2 linked regions of the Notamacropus eugenii genome follow. The protein of the gene in region 1 purifies or fractionates together with the protein of each later gene. This does not show direct contact. Links are inferred from orthologs where the notes say so. Each region holds a gene or a part of one and is shown on either strand. Other genes may lie near its edges.

Region 1 (7,922 bases):
CCTCAGCTTCCTCATCAGGAAAATGGGCCCAAGAATAGACCCTGGGGTGGAATGCTTCATGTCAGACATTCCTGAACAGCTCCAGGAATGCTCGCTCACCATTGCCACCCACATCCTCAATAGTCTGCCATGTTCCCCGGATGCCTGTGCAATCTATCCCAGTGGGTTTGGGAGGCTCAGAAGTGAGATAGACCCAGGGAGGTGACACTCACCCCTAGGAAGTGGGAGAGTTCACTGTTCATGAGTTCTTTCAGCTCTGACTTCTTCAGCTTGTGCTTGTCACCCTCTTTCGCAGAATACTGGTTGAATGTTTCGATGATGGTCATCATGGCCTTCTCCAGGTCCGACATGATGGCTATCAGATCCTCCTGCACACGCAGTGGAACAAGAAGACAGACTGTCTCTAAACATCCTGACAACAATGGATGGGCAGACATCCTTTCTGACCTGTTCCCCTCACACTTCTGATTGCTGGGAGTGATCATGACCATGATAATGATTATGGGATAACCCTCCTCCATGGGTGACCTCTTCAGTCCATCTCATGGGGTCAGAGAAGTACTGACCTAGAGGTCATCCAGGATAAACCAGCAAGAGATCACAGAGGCCTAGAACTCAGCTCCTTTGGCCCCAAATCTTTCCCTTAACTGCCCCCCCCCCCAAGAAGGTTACAAATAGGAGAAATGGGACTCAAACTCAGGTCCTCTAACTCCACCAGCATCCAGAGAATAACCAAACCTTAAGGAAAAAGGGAAAAATGGCCCAGGCCAAAAGGAAGGTCAGGAAATCCAAGTTCCTCCCTGGGTGTTGTGTAGCTGTTTCTCCTGGTTAATATTGTGTTTCCTTTACAACAACAATTAAATTATTCTTTTCAGGTTTAGAATTTTTGTGGAATGGAAAATTACTCAAAGTGTCCCCTTGGAAACAATGCCCTGGCACCATTCTAGGCTCTCTCCAGAGAGAGCCTAGCGAAGAGGCCCAGACAAGCCACTGCTGCCACCTGACTGGGCCCTGCCTGATCTTCTGAAAGCCCCAAACCCAGGTCCTGCCTGACCCCCTGACAGTGAGGTGCCCAGCCAGGCTGCTTTGACCTCCCGGTGCCTCATGAAAGGGCACAGATCACATTTCCTCCCTCTTTCTCTGACTACACCAGGAATCTTTTTTAGTGGGGAGGGAAAAGAGTGGTGGCAGAGTGCTGGGTGGAGAGCTCTATGAAGAGCAGAAGGACACCTTTCACCTAGGGGATGGGGGTGGAATCAGGGAGGGCTTCCTGGAGGAGGCAGCACCTGACTTAAAAGTGGAAAGTAAAACAGTGTCAGCTTTCCATTCCCTGAGACAAGCCAGAGGCTGGCCCACACACACAGCAAAGGGGAAGGTGCTGCCTCCACTTGGAGTTCAAAGACCAGCTCAAACCCCATTTAGTCATTTTCTCTCCTGGGCCTTGGTTTCTTCATCTGTAAAATGAAGGAGTTGGAATTGGTGGCCCCACATCCAGGACCCTAAGAATTAAATCAACCGTGAGAAGCAGAGAGTGCCTGCTCAAGTGGGTCCCTCATTGGGTCATTTACTCCTCAGAAGGAGCAAGGAGCCCTCGAGCTCCATTTAGGCACCCCTGGACATTGCTCTGTCCTGCTCCTGAGGCCTCTGGGTCACATGCCTCCAGGAGCTCACTCCCACCAAGGTTTAACTAGATCCCTCCAGCCATGTTGGAGTGGATAGCCTCCCCTGCCCCCATTGTGACAAACAACAAAAGAAGAAAGGAAACTGCAGCAAAATGAGCGGTCGACTGAGCCTGACCGGGGCTGAGAGAAATATTCCACACCCACAGTCCCCCACCTCTGCTATATCAGATTATCCCTTCAAGATTCATTTAAGTGGCTGCAAAAACTGTTCACTGTTAGATAACTGTTTGCAGCTTGTTGCCCTGGGGAATTTGGGGAAAAATCGTGATTGCTGGTCAGTGGATTGTGGGCACTCCCTCCTGAACAGCCTCTGTCTGTGGGAACGGAATGACAGGGCTGATTCGAGGACTTCAAAGCCAGGGACCTCCCCACTCCAGGCCAGGGAGGCTGGGCCCTGGACATCCCCCTCCAGGCAGCCCCTGGACATCCCACCTCCATGCCCTGCTTCAGCCCACTCCTACCCAACCCTGCCCTCCCCTGCCCAACTTTTCCACACTTCTCTATATCACATATTTCATACCGACTGAAGTCAGTCATCTCTTCACCAAGCATGAAAATCAGAACTTTTTAAAAATCTTCATTTTTTTTTTGGTCTCTCCTTTCTTCCTGGAAATGTTGGATACAATCTTTTCTTACCTCTCTTGAAGACAGAGCCTACTTTGACCTCTCAAATGAATGAGAAGGGAAGGCAATAGCAGAGCCCCCTCTGGGAAAGAAACTGGATTTTCCAAAGGGATGACAAGGCCATGGGGGAGAGCCCCACCCATCAGGGTCTGTTCTCCAAACCCAGCAGTGCCGCTCAATAAGTGCAAAGGCTTCTGGGCGGTGTCCAGGGACGATGTGCGCCTGGCGCCTAGCAGGACTCAGTAACCGCTTTGATTGATAATTAGTGTCATCCTAAATGCAGGACAACTGAGGCAGCAAGCAGTGATTCCCCACTGGCTTTATGGACGAGGCCAGGGACCAGAGAAAAGGGAATTAGATACTGTCCCTTGATCATGAGCCAAGACAGTCCAAAGGATGACGTTGGGGCCGTGGGGGGGAGGGGCGCCGGACTGGATGACCCCTACGGTCCCTCACATCCCAGATCCGGGAACCAAGAACTTCTCTGTGAGTCCCGGTTATTTCGAAACTCTCTTCTGGCTCTCAGATCTCAGGAGTGCTAAATTCCCTTCAGCCATAGGAGTGAAAATTGGGAGAAAAGGTCACGGAGCCGTTCAAAGGAAAGGCAGGGGCTTTGTCCCTGTGCCGGGATACAAAGGACAGTCAAGGACACCTCTGGGAAACCTGGGCGAACTCCCCACCCCGGCTTGCTCAGAGGCCCCTGACTCTGGGCACTCACCATGTCTCAGAGAGCTAAGTGCACCTGCCCCCTCAGCCAGAAAAGGAGCAGAACTGAACGAGATCGGTTGTCTCAAACTGAAACGGTCTCAAAACCCGCGAGTCCCCAGCAGGGCATCGAGGCAGCGGGGCGGGGGGAGGGGTGGAGGGGGCAGAGGGACAGCGGAGCAGCAGGACACCGGGGCAGGGGACAGGGGGGCAGCGGAGCAGGCGACAAGGGGGCAGCGGGGCAAGGGACGGGGGGCAGCGGAGCAGCAGGGCAGGCGACAAGGGGGCAGCGGGGTAAGGGACAGGGGGGCGGCGGAGCAGCGGGGCAGGGCAGCGGCAGGGCAGGGCAGTGGCGCGGCAGAGCTCCTACTTCTCCAAAAACCTCCCTCACTCACCTCCCTGCTGCTGCTTAGGAGTTTCTCTCGCTTGTTTCGTTGTGCCTGAGAAAGGCACCAGACACTGGCTTCTTATTCCTTTCCTAGGGGTGGAGAAGCTCTATTGACAGTAGTGCTGCCCGGCTGCAGACAGGCACGAACCAATGAGCGCTGCGGGAGGAGGCCGGGGTAGGAGGGAGCCAGCGGCTTCTTGGACCTCAGTGAGGGCAGCTAGTGGCCTGGCACACAAGAGAGCATTGACAAAGCAGGGAAACCACATGGGCCTGCTGTGGGGGCCATTAACTGATACACTGGTCTGAGAAGGAAAGAAAAGAGGGCCTGTTATCTAGAAATGTGGAGGTCAGCTTTTTGCAGCGTTGTTTATTTCTTATGAGAATTTCAAAACAGGCCTCCTGGGGTAGAAAGAGAGAAGAGAAGGGAGAAAACAAGGAGAAAGAGAAAGAAAAGTTATATAAAAAAGAGAGGAAGACAGAGAAAAAAGAAAGGGAAGGAAGGAGGGAGGGAAGAAGGGAGAGAGGGAAAGAAGAAAGGGGAGGGAGGTAAGAAAAGCAAGACAGACAGACACAGACAGACAGAATTGAAGGGAGAGACAGAGTCAGAAAGATAGAGATTGAAAGAAAGTGAGACAGCTACAAAGGGAGGTCCCAATCCCTGCTCAATCAGTGACTCTGAACAAGCAGAAGTGTTTCATCTGGTTTCCTATGAAAAAGGCTCAGTTACCCTCTTACCTGCTTCCCCTTACCTGACGCCCCTTGCCTGCTGGCACCCCCAAAGGGCTTTCCACAATGTATGTTTCTCTCTGGGCAACAGCCTTCAGCATGGACCCGTTGTCCATCGGAGTCCAGACCTGACTGCTGTTTAAGGCCAGTAGTAGCTATCACTCAATGTTTGGTAAATGAAAAAGTAAATTATTTATGAAGTATAAGGAATAAAACACTATATAGAATGCAGATAAAGTCATCCGACCACAAAGCAAATTAATGAGAAACCAGGAATGACCTCCACAAACCAAGAAAGCCCAGGAAGTGTTTTGCACCAGGAAAGCCCTGGGAGGCCATTCAAGGAGCATCGAGCTTGGAGTCTGAGGACCTGAGGACCTCAGCTCTTCCATGATTACCTGGGTGACCTTTGGCACAGTCTTCAACTTCTCTGGGTCTCAGTTTCTTCCTCTGGAAAATGAGAAAGTGACTTCCAGGTCCCTTCTGGCTCTAAGTCCATGATTCTAGGAAATCTTAACCAATCAGATGTCTCCCTGGCCAACTTCCTGAGGTTAGAGAATTATTTTAAATATTCCACCAATAAATAGGAGGTTTGGCTTCAGGGAAGAGCATGCCCTCAAAAGAGAAGAGTTTAGTTTAGCTGAGGTTTGTCAGCCAGAAGGTAGGTAATTGATAAAGACTGTCGGGAAGCATCCCCAGCCTGCTGTGCCCACACTCATGAAGGCAGCTCCAACAAGGCCCCAGAACCCTTCTCTGATTCTTAGCTTGTGCAGAGCCAGGAGATGAGTGCTAGAAGATGATGGGCATCCATACTCTACGTTGTCACCAATTGTCATGGCTGGAGCCTGCTGCTTCCATTTCTAATCTGACTACCAAACCATGAATCTGTTAGTAAGAGAGTTTGGCACTGGTTGCCTTCAGCCCACATTGTGGTCCCCTGCTTATCACTGCCTAACTCCAGAGTCATAATTAGAAATTTGAGTGACCAGGGAAAGCAGCACCTCCAACTCCACTTCATAATTCAGTTAGGTGGTAGCTGGACTCAAGTTAGACCTGAGCTCAAAAACAGCCTCAGATACATATACTAGTAAAATGGAAATCATAATAGCACCTCCCTCCCATGTTGTTATAAGGATTGAGATATTTCCAGGGTGTTTTGCAAATCCTAAAAGTGCTATATTAATGTTAGTTATTAATTTTAGAGGTAATTGAGGCAGATTCATTTAAATGAGAAGGGAGACATCAGTCCATTGCCCCTTGGGGAAGAGATTTTGGACACAAACCTTGTGGGGCCACTGCTGGGGCAGAGGAGAGGTGGAGAGTTGAACCAAGGTAGGGCATGGCCAAAGAGGTGCTCATAAGGCATGCAGCAATCTAAAAGCGTCTCAGTTTAATTCTTCTTGCATTTCATACTGTTTAAGGAATTTGGGTATTGTTACAACATAGAGGTAACCAATATAAAAATTGCTGAAACTTTTGAAATTATTCTCTTGCATTTTTTGCAACCCATTTAAAATGTTGGCCCTCTGAGATGATCATCTCACCCTAGTTAAGTTTTGGCTAGCTTTAGATTCTCAGGATTGATTCATCTCTCTCATTTGTGAGCACCAAGAACCTGTAACGAGTCCAATCCTGTACTAACTAGACTTTATGGGGGATGTGAAAGAAATGTGAGGCATGATTCCTACTCTAAGATCATACAAATTGGAGGTCCCTTTGCCAGTGAGGCCATCTGGGGCTCCATATGTCAGTGGTCCAAACATTCTGTTGGTGGAGAAAGCTCTGCAGAAAAGTCAACCATTGTTTAGAAGGGTGAAATTTCACATGATTCGGGCAGGAAGCATCTGAGCCCAATGCCTGCTATAAGGGACCAGGTTAAACACAACAGCCAAGAAACCACTGCTTCCATTCTCTTGTCTCTGAGGAGAAAGAGGCTTTGTTGCATTGCAAGCCATTAAGTTGTGGCCACACGCCTATCTCTGACTCACATCTTCCTTTAGCTCCAAAGCCTTTTGACTGGTCCTGGCCTGAAGAGACCAGTGTGATTGCTGCTGACCAGAAATATTCCCAGAGATGGGACATCCCAGAAATTTGGGTTTGGTTTCCATAATGACTTTACAATTCAATGTATCTTAGGAGAAAACACTCATCAAATGAGTGCCGCCGGTAAGGATGGCTTTCCAAGTGACAGGTTCTAATGAGGAGAAAACTCTCCATAGAATAAGACCTCAGAAAGGGCAGGACTGGGAGCCAGAGATCCCACCAGGATGACATCATGCTGCATCTAACCTTACTGGGCAAAGACCTCCCCACTCCAGAAGACTCTGGAAGAACCACAGAAGGTGGGAAGGGTACCTTCAGTAGCTTGAATGGAGTGGAATCTGGCACCTGCCTCTCCAGCATCATTCCACACTACTCCACTTCCCATGCTCAGTGCTCCAGTCATGATATCTTTCTGGTCATCATTCCATCTGGTCATCCCCCTCTCGACTCCACTTGCTAGAACCCTTAACATCCCATGGTATGCCCTCAAGCTCCACTTTCCTGGTACTCCCAACTACCCTGATCAGCTGGTACTGAGTAGCATGAAGTTTGTCTGCTTTTCTGTTCTCTTAATGCTTATTCTGCATATATGTAAACATTCTAATGCTCTGGGTTTACACAACTTGTAAGAATTGTTTAGTGTGTTTGCATCCCTGGGTCCTAGCATAGCCCCTGTCACACAGTACTTAATAAATGCATGCTGATTGTGTCACCTGACTTTCACCAGGATGCTACTCATGAAAGCTGCCACTCAGATCTCAAAAGTGAAGAGATCAGACCCCAGGCATGGGCCCCAGTGGCACTCCTTCCCTCTTAAGCTGTGAGTTTACTAGTCTAATGAGAGGTCACACCCAATCCCCAAAAGAGCAGGGACAAGAAATCTTCTGTGATCCCAAGTTTATTCTCTGGGCACATCTTAAGCAGCCCAGTCTAACCTCTTCTACCAACTACTGCCCTTTCCTCTTTTCTTTTGCAGAGAAAGTCTGCCTTTTGCCATATGAGGGCATTGTACCAAGAACATTGAGCTCATGTCTCCCCAGGATATCCAGGACAACCTACCTTTAAGGGCAGTAAAAATCTTTTGCTTCTGTCCCACACCCCCATCCTCAATAAAAAGACAGTCATTTAAAAGAGTTGAGCTCAGCCATTCACTTAAGAAATCCCAAATGGCTGAAAATGCCCATTGTCAGTCATGCCATCCATAAGGTTGTGAGGCCAGGAGCTAATCTGTCAATAACCATGGTCATGTTCAGTGCTGGAGGGATGCTTGAGGCTGTTTGCAAGGTCAAAAATATTGTAATAGTGCAGAGACAGCTAAGTGGCCTGATCGTCCCTATCACAGCTTCAATAAGAACAAGCTTTTCTACAGACCTTTAGGGTTTATGAAGCGCTATCAAGATGCTGTCTCACTGAATTCCCACAACAACCTTAGGAGGTAGGGGCTGTCATTAGCTTCATTTCACAGATGAAGAAACTAAGGCTGAAAGAAGTTGACTTGGGACAGAATTGAACTGAGGGCTTTCTGCCTCCAACAGTCCACTGCTCTGTCCACTACACCTTAGCTAGCCTGAGAGCTGGTTCTGAAGTTGAGAAAACCTGAGCCCTAACCCTGACTCTGACCCTTCCTGGCTGTGTGATGGTGGGTGAATCACTTAACCTCACTCATCTCAGCATCTCATCTGTAAAATGGGGGAAGAGTAGCACCTATCTCCTAGGTTGGTAAGGGGATCAAATGAGATCTTTGAAAATTTTAA
Region 2 (7,998 bases), on another chromosome or scaffold:
TTTTTCATTCATTCATTCATTCATTCATTCATTCATTCATTCATTCATTCCTCTGATGTCTTCACTCAGCAATTTCTCTTCCTATGAGGTTTCCTTCATCTATCCTTATCACTCTGCTCAATCTTCATTGTGATCATCTACCAGCTTATCACCCTTTGCTCAAGTACCTAGTCTTCTTTTATCCTAACTCGTCCTTATCCTTTGTAACTTTGACATACATGTCTCTTCATCAACCTCTTCATCTTCAGTGACCTCTATCTCCACTCTGTCTAATCCACTCACACTTTTTACCTCACTAGAATAGCTAACATTTACATAGGATTTAAGGTTTGCAAGCTACTTTACATATGTTATCTCACCAGTACTCCACACTTGGTGATTGCAGTCTCCTGTCCTTCCATTTCTACCTTTGCCTCACTCCTGAAGCTCTTTGTCTTTACCGATGACTTCCAGTCCTTCCATCCTTTCCTGTTCTTCTACTTCATCAACCCCTACCTGTGGTCGGTCTCACTTTCCTCTCTTCTCAGTCTTGACCCTAGGCTCTAGCTAAACTAACATATTTGCTCTACTCTGAACTCAAGGTTTTCTCTTCCACCTTTGCACAGCCTTTCCCCTCTGTAATGCACTCTGTCTTTACTTCCGTCTCTTAGAATCCTAAGATTTCTTAGCACATAAAGTTCTTGAAGATAGAGACTTTCATATTTGACTTTGTATCCTCAGTAGTCTTTCCTTGTATCCTCATAGTGTCTTTCTCATTGTAGATGCTTACAAGATTTTGTCCAATGGAAATAGCTTGACCCTGTTCAGTGTTTTCTTTGATCTCTGATCAGACCCTGGCACAAACCTTTTTTGCTCAGGAAGGTTCTTTTCTAGGGTCCCAGTGATTGCTCTACCTCACCAGTACACATGATCTCCTTCCCCTTATGGATTCTATTGTGCTTTACTGTCAGGAAACAAATTGTTTCCACCATAGCTGGCAGAACTCTGTGTGCACCACTGTAAATCTTCAAGTTTCTGTAGAACTAACAATGCTCTGGGGAGCACTTGTAGACTTGAAGGAAGTCTGTAAGTAGCTCCGGAAGCTGGGTGGAGTTGGCAGCTCTATGTTCTCGTGGTGCTACAAGTTCCTCAGATCCTTTTGCCAGATGATCAGAAGATTTTTCCATGGATTCTCACTTTAAAAAAAAAAAATTTTAGACTAAAAATCTAGACTTGAGATTTCATTAACTCCAGATGTAGGAATTCTCTCCATTAACACGTCAGAAACTTCTCTGTAACTCATAGTCTGGGTGACCTGCTCCAGGGCCTGAGAGGTAGAGGCATTTGGCCCAAGAAACCACTAAACCAAGGACTAAACCTAGTCCAAATGAATGCTCGGAAGGACCTATTTGTACAAAAATATAGCAGCTCTTTTTGTGGTAGCAAAGAATCGGAAATTGAGGGGATGTCCATCAGTTGTAGAACTGATAAACAAGTTGTGGCATATGATTATAATGGAATACTATTATGCTATAAGAAATGATAAGCAGGATGATTTCAGAAAAGACTAGAAAGACTAACACAAACTGATGCAAAGTGAGCAGAACCAGGAGAACACTGTATACAGTAACAGCAATATTGTATGATGATCAGCTGTAAATGACTTAGCTATTCTCAGCAATACAATGATCCCAGACAATTTCAAAGAACTCATGATAAAGAATGCTATCTGCCTCCAGAGAAAGAACTGATGGAATCTGAATGCAGATTGAAGCATAGTATTTTTCACTTTCTTCATTTTTTCATATATTTTTTTCTTTTTGTACGTTTTCTTTTGCAACATGACTAATATGGAAATATGTTTTACATGACTACATATGTATAACATATCAAATTGTTTACTGTTTCAAGGAGGGGGGAGGTGAGGGAAGGAGGGAGAAAATTTGGAACTCAAAATGAAAAAAAAGAATGCTAAAAATTGTCTTTATATATAGTTGAAAAAAATTATTAAACCTCTTTGCCTCAGAAGAAAAAGAAATCCTCAGATAGGGCCACAAAGAATCAAACATGACTGAACAACAACAAATTCAATTTTCCAAATTTTAAATTCAGTTCCCCCTTGCACTCATTATGTGTGCAATAGTCATTTCAGGTGGTGACTACCTGGGCAAGTTAGAGGCTGCCAAAGACAATCTGTGAAATATTTTATGAGCACACAAACCTGTATATAAATGGGATGTTAGCTGTCATCTTATCCCTGTGGAATACTCAGAGGAAATATGTCTGGTTATATGCCTGTTACGTCTGTGCCACGGCTCTCACAAATATGTATTACCTGGCTTTAGTTTTTAAAAATATTCTGAATACCAAGTGAAATGAGCATTTCCATACACATATACACAATGGAACAGAATAAGAACATGGTACATGGAGCTGATGATCATTATATTGTGTGGCTTGCCCTTCTTTGAAAATATATAATATATTTAACCTTTAGCTTTTCCAGCTTTTCTGTGGTTCTTTCTGGTCTTCATTCAGTTTTTCTTTTCTGCATTTTTTTAAAAGTTGCCTCCATGACCCTCTTTTCTTTTCCCTACACTGTCTCTATGAATCTTTCCCTTTCCACCCCCAGTCTTCCAAATGGAGAAAAAGTTTTTTATAATAGCCCTTGTTATAAATATTCATAATCAAGCAGAACAAATTCTGTCTTACTTTACAAATGCATGTAGATGATATTGTGATTAAAAATATAAATTTATTCAAAAGTGTTACCAGATACATAATCACTTTTGTCAAGCATTTTCTCTATCAATTCATGCTAATAGTTCTACAACTATAAGAGGGGGAGGGGTCGCAATTCAGTTTATTTTTTTATGTTAAAAAGGACCTAAACTAAACATTTATCAGCACACTCACCCTGGGGTGTTCTAGGAAATGTTTTATCACCTGGCTCCTCAAAGTAAAAAAGATATTCAGGGAACACTTTTAAATTTAATTGACATGAAGATTTCTTTCATTATTTTCTTCAGTCTAGACAATTCACAAAACAGGCCTTGATTTGCAGCTGTTGCTGGTTTTTGCTATGTAAATATTCGCAAGAAACATTTCTGGGTCCAGAATGTCCCAGGACAATAAGTACCACCCATCTGTAAGAATTGTCAGGTTCTTTCCTGCTCTGAATACTAAAATGCAAGGTTTTAAACCTGTGTGTGTGTGTGTGTGTGTGTGTGTGTGTGTGTGTGTGTGTGTGTGTGAAAGACCTCTTTACAGTCTAGTAAAACTTATATGGACCTGTTCTCAGAATAATAATTTTAGATAATTGAAGGAAATATTACATTTTAGTGATGAGTGAAAATAAAGATGTAATTTTTCTTCCATACAAGTTTATAGATTCCCTGAAATCTATCCAATGGGGACCAGATTAAGAGTTTTTGCTATCCTATGACCAATAATTAATTTTATACATTATGACACTAAAAATTAATTATTATAAAATATCATATGTTAATGTTAAATATGTATGATAATATATAATTTTAGTTCAGCTATTTTTTTTGGTGGTCATGACTCCATTTGGGGTTTCTTGGCAAAGATACTGGTTTGTCACTTCCTTCTCCAGCTCATTTTACAGATAAGGAAACTGAGGCAAATGGATTTAAGTAACTTGCCCAGGGTCACACCAAGTGTCTGGGGCCAGATTTGAATTCAGGAAGACGAGTCTTCTGATTCCAGGCGCAGCACTCCATACACTGGGCCACCTAACTGATCATATATAATATTATAGTATAGGTCCTATGATCCCGATTCCTTTAGAGAGAGTAATGAGTTTCATCACTGAATAATAATAATAATAATAGCTAGTTTTTATATGGTTCTGAAGCCCTCTACAATATATATGTAATATATATTGTAATATACAATATACATCGTGTATATAATATATATTATGTATAATATACAATACCATATACAATACATAACATTATAAAGCAAAGTGCTTTATGTCTATGGGGTATCCCGAAAGTTTCAGTGCAGTTTTAAACGTCAAAACTTCTGGGACACTTTGTATCATTCCATTTGATGACTGACCTAGAACTAGAAGGAAACTTACAAAGTTATCCAGAACCATCTTATTTTAAGAGGAGGAAACCCGGCGGAGTGGGGCGGTGAATAGTGCTGGATCCCTGACATGAAGTCAGGAGGGAGACCTAAGTTCAGATCCTGCCTCTGACCCCCCTTAGCCCGGTGACCTTCTCTGTAAAAATGGGGATGATAACAACAGCGTTGTGAGGCTCTAATAAGCGAAGGCTTGGAAAGCTCCACTGCACCGCGTGGAGGAGGAGGCTGAGGAGGGGGAGGGGGAATAGGTGAGGCGGATGACGTCATGGGGCGCTGCGGAGGCAGGTGTGGCTCTCCCCCCTCCCTCTCCGCACAGCTGGAATGCGGCTTAGAGCTCAGGCCTGGGGAGCTCGGGGCCTACCCGAAGCCCCGACCCAGGGGAGCCCCGGGGAGGGCTGGGGGTGGGGCCGGTAAGTGTTTAACCACTGTCTCTCCCCGGAAAAAGTAGGGAGGGTGCGCTTTGAAGTTTCTTCTGCATTACGTAAAGCTCCAAGGTGGTAATTAATTTGGTAATATTTGTGGAGCGCTTCATAAACGCCGGTACCCCTCTCCACCATTAGTAACATTTCCTCCATCATCAGCCTCGAGCCCCGCTCGGTGGATTTGCCGCGCCCGCCAATTTCCGAGGGGTAAACGCTCGCACTTTAAATTTAACCACGGGCTCCCCAGAGCCCCCACCCCCAACCCCAGGGGGCGCAGGCGCGGGTTGCGGAAGGCCGGGTCGCCCCCGAGGCATCATAAAGTCAGGCGGAGAAAGCAAAGCCAGGAGAGTGGGCGGACAGAGCCGAGCAAGTTTGGGATGGCTCATCCGCCGTAAGCAGCGCCGCAGCCCATAGAGGGCGGGGGAAGGGAGGTGTGGGCGGGGCTTCTCGGGCCCCGCCTCCTCCGTCGGCCTCCACCTTCTCCCCCTCCCTCCCCCTACGGCTGCGGGTTCGGGGCGGGGCCGCGGGCGCGGGCGCGGGCACGGTCACACCCAGCGCGCCTCCGCCGCTGTCGCTGCCCCTGCCGCGCCCGGGAAGCGCTACGCCGCCTGCCTCTTCCCTCCGAGGCTTCGCCGCGCACGTCTCGCTCTTGCAGCCATGTCCGCCGCGGACGAAGTTGACGGACTGGCGGTGGTCCGGCCGCACTATGGCTGTGAGTCCGGGGTCGGGCGGGGCCGGGAGGGCGAGCCCGGGGAGGCCCAGCCGGCCCAAGGCGGAGGTGGCTCCGGTTCCCCTTGGGGCCGCGCCGCGCCGACCCGGAAGGGCAGGGCGCGCCCGTTGTCCGGGCTCTGGGGCCGCGGCCTCGGCCCCCTCCCCGATCACGCCGGGAGCTGGCCGTCCTGGCACTTCTGTCTGTCAGCTGGAGCCGGGCTGGCCGGGCTCGGGGAGGGGGTTGGCGGGGGTGGTGAGGGTGTGGATGGCCCCCAGCCCCTCGGACCCCCCGGAGGAAACACCCATCCTCCGGTGGAGGAAACTGAGGCTGAGGAGGCCCGCTCGGCAGCGCAGCCCCGTGTCCCGCGCTGGGCGGCTCCGAAGAGCGCTCCCTGCCAGTCCCGGACTGGGGGGCCCGTGAACTTACCTTTTTTAAACCATCTTGCTAAATGTTTCAGTGCATTTATTTCCTTTGTCATCTCACGTATTTTATACATTTAAAAGCAATTTGAAGAAGGGTGTCCACAGGCTCCCCACACCGACGTAGGAGTCCCTAACACCAAAAATACAAATAAACATGAGGGAGAATTGAGAATTTATGGGAGGCACGTTTTGTTGAGTGGAAAAGAGCTCTGGCCGCGTGGAGTTTAGAGACGGGGCATCTTGGTGTGGTGAAGGAATGGGGCACTCTTGGAATCAGGAGACCCAGGGCTCTAACCCACTTCTGCTAACTGTGGAACCCCAGTTGGGCAAGTCAGTTTTACTTAGGCCTCTGTTTCCCTTTTTTTCTAAAATGAGAGAATTGGAGCAGACGATCTCTAGATCACAGGAGCTGTCTCTATTCTGTGTTCTAGGTCTTTAGGAAAGATAAAATGTTATTGATTTATGTCCCCTCTCTCCTTCTGAGGGCCATCACTTCAATCAAAAAATAACAAAGCCAGGGGAAAAAAATCAGTTCAGCAAAACCAGCCAATATATGAAGAGTTTTATGTTATATGCAGTGTTCTGCACCATAGTTTCCCTCCCCTCCTTTCTGCAAAGTGGGGAGATTGCCTTCTCAAAGCTCTCATAGATCCAAGCTTTGTTCTGAAGTGTCCTGAGCCTTTCAGGGCTATAGTTTTCTTTTTACCAGGATCTTGAAAGTAATGAAGGGGAAGGGAAGGAACTTGCTTCCTTATTCAATCTGTCAAGTAATTCTGCTTTCTTAGGGTTTTGGACATTGTTACATCTGTTCTACCAGGGAAAAGGGAGACCCAGCCCAGTTCCCTTTTTTTTCCTCCTGAAAGAGGCCCTGCCCTTTGATGATGTAGGGGTTTTAGTTTCAAGTTATGCACTGGAAATAAGGTTCTTATAGATTAGCTTGTTTCATTAACAACAGTAAGATGCAAAGTCAGATATATGCTTATGTTACTACGTTTTGATAAAAATAATATAGGTGGGGCCCAAAGTCCTTGCAAGAATAAGGTCATTATATTATACCTGGCAACACTTGTTGCCAAGGGGAGTGGGAAGTTACCAAACTGAGTCAGGATCAACTGATCTGGCTTTCTTACATCTCTATAGATGTAAGCTACAGATTTCCATATTTATATAATTTCTCTTATTTTGTAGCTGTCTTGGATAATGAAAGGCTCACTGCAGAGGAGATGGATGAGAGGAGACATCAGAATGTGGCTTATGAGTACCTTTGTCACCTAGAGGAAGCAAAGAGGTAAGGAAAAGGTGGTTGGCAATAAATGGAGACAAGGATCTTGGTTTGTGTGAATTTCTCTTTGGTACTTGTGTCCGTGGGAGCTTAGGTTTGTAGTGAGGGCAAATGAGCTTAGGGCTAATTTGAAGGAACTTGGAAAATCATTTAGTTCAGGCTCCCACCCCTTACAGGACATCTAGATAACTAGTTAAGGGCAGAATTAGGGCTATATTCCAAGTCTCCTCCCTCTGAGATCTGTGCTTTTCAATGCTTAACCATACTTTATTCCCTTCAGAACATTTTCTTTTCTATCCGGTCTTGAACTTTTAGCATAAGAGGTAGCCCTTTTTCTTCTTTTTTCTGTCTTTTTTTTTAGTTTTTAGTGTAAACTTTTATAAGATTTTGAATTCTAAATTTTTTCTATCTCCATTCCCCTTTCCCCAAGACAGCAAGCAATCTGATATAGGTTATTCCTGTGCAATCATATTAAACATATTTCCACATTAGTCATGTTCTAAAAGAAGAATCAGAACAAAAGGGGAAAACCACAAGAAAGAAAAAGACATTAAAATAATATGCTTCAATCTGCATTCAGACTCCATAGTTCTTTCTCTGGATGTGGATGGCATTTTCTATCATGAGTCTTTTGGAATTGTGTTGTATCATTGTATTGCTGAGAAAAACTAAGTTATTCACAGTTAGTTGATCTTCACACAATATTGCTGTTACTATGTACAACATTCTCCTGGTTCTGCTCGCTTCACTCAGCATTAGTTTATATAAATCTTTCCAGGTTTTTCTGAAATCAGCCTGCTTATCATTATTTATAGTACAATAATATTCCTTTACATTCATATATCACAACTAATTGAGACATTCACAAATTGATGGGCATCTCCTCAATTTCCAATTCTTTGCTGAGGTGGACCTTTTTCTATGAAGTCGCTCTTATGTGTGGTCCTTCAGAGGTTTACTCCTTTCAAATTGAGCTATTTTACAAAGCTGTTATAAAAATGTTTCCTAATGCTTACCTATAAGCAGTCACCTCATTCTGGAAGCTATCACTGCTTATGAACA

The links.
Region 2: the proteins of S100B (region 1) and IQGAP1 purify together in Homo sapiens (co-immunoprecipitation; 3 studies listed by BioGRID and IntAct, with this or other methods). This does not show direct contact. The link is inferred for Notamacropus eugenii from reciprocal best matches to the Homo sapiens genes S100B and IQGAP1.

What each region holds. Positions count from the first base shown.
Region 1 is NC_092873.1:68,179,869-68,187,790, forward strand, and holds the start of S100B (protein S100-B), read right to left. Parts: upstream 3,120-7,922; 5' UTR 3,028-3,119; coding exon 3,025-3,027; intron 2,290-3,024; exon of another isoform or gene 2,203-2,289; intron 369-2,202; coding exon 213-368; intron 1-212. UniProt on the Homo sapiens protein: Small zinc- and- and calcium-binding protein that is highly expressed in astrocytes and constitutes one of the most abundant soluble proteins in brain.
Region 2 is NC_092872.1:249,260,164-249,268,161, forward strand, and holds the start of IQGAP1 (ras GTPase-activating-like protein IQGAP1), read left to right. Parts: upstream 1-4,938; 5' UTR 4,939-5,177; coding exon 5,178-5,232; intron 5,233-6,842; coding exon 6,843-6,942; intron 6,943-7,998. UniProt on the Homo sapiens protein: Plays a crucial role in regulating the dynamics and assembly of the actin cytoskeleton.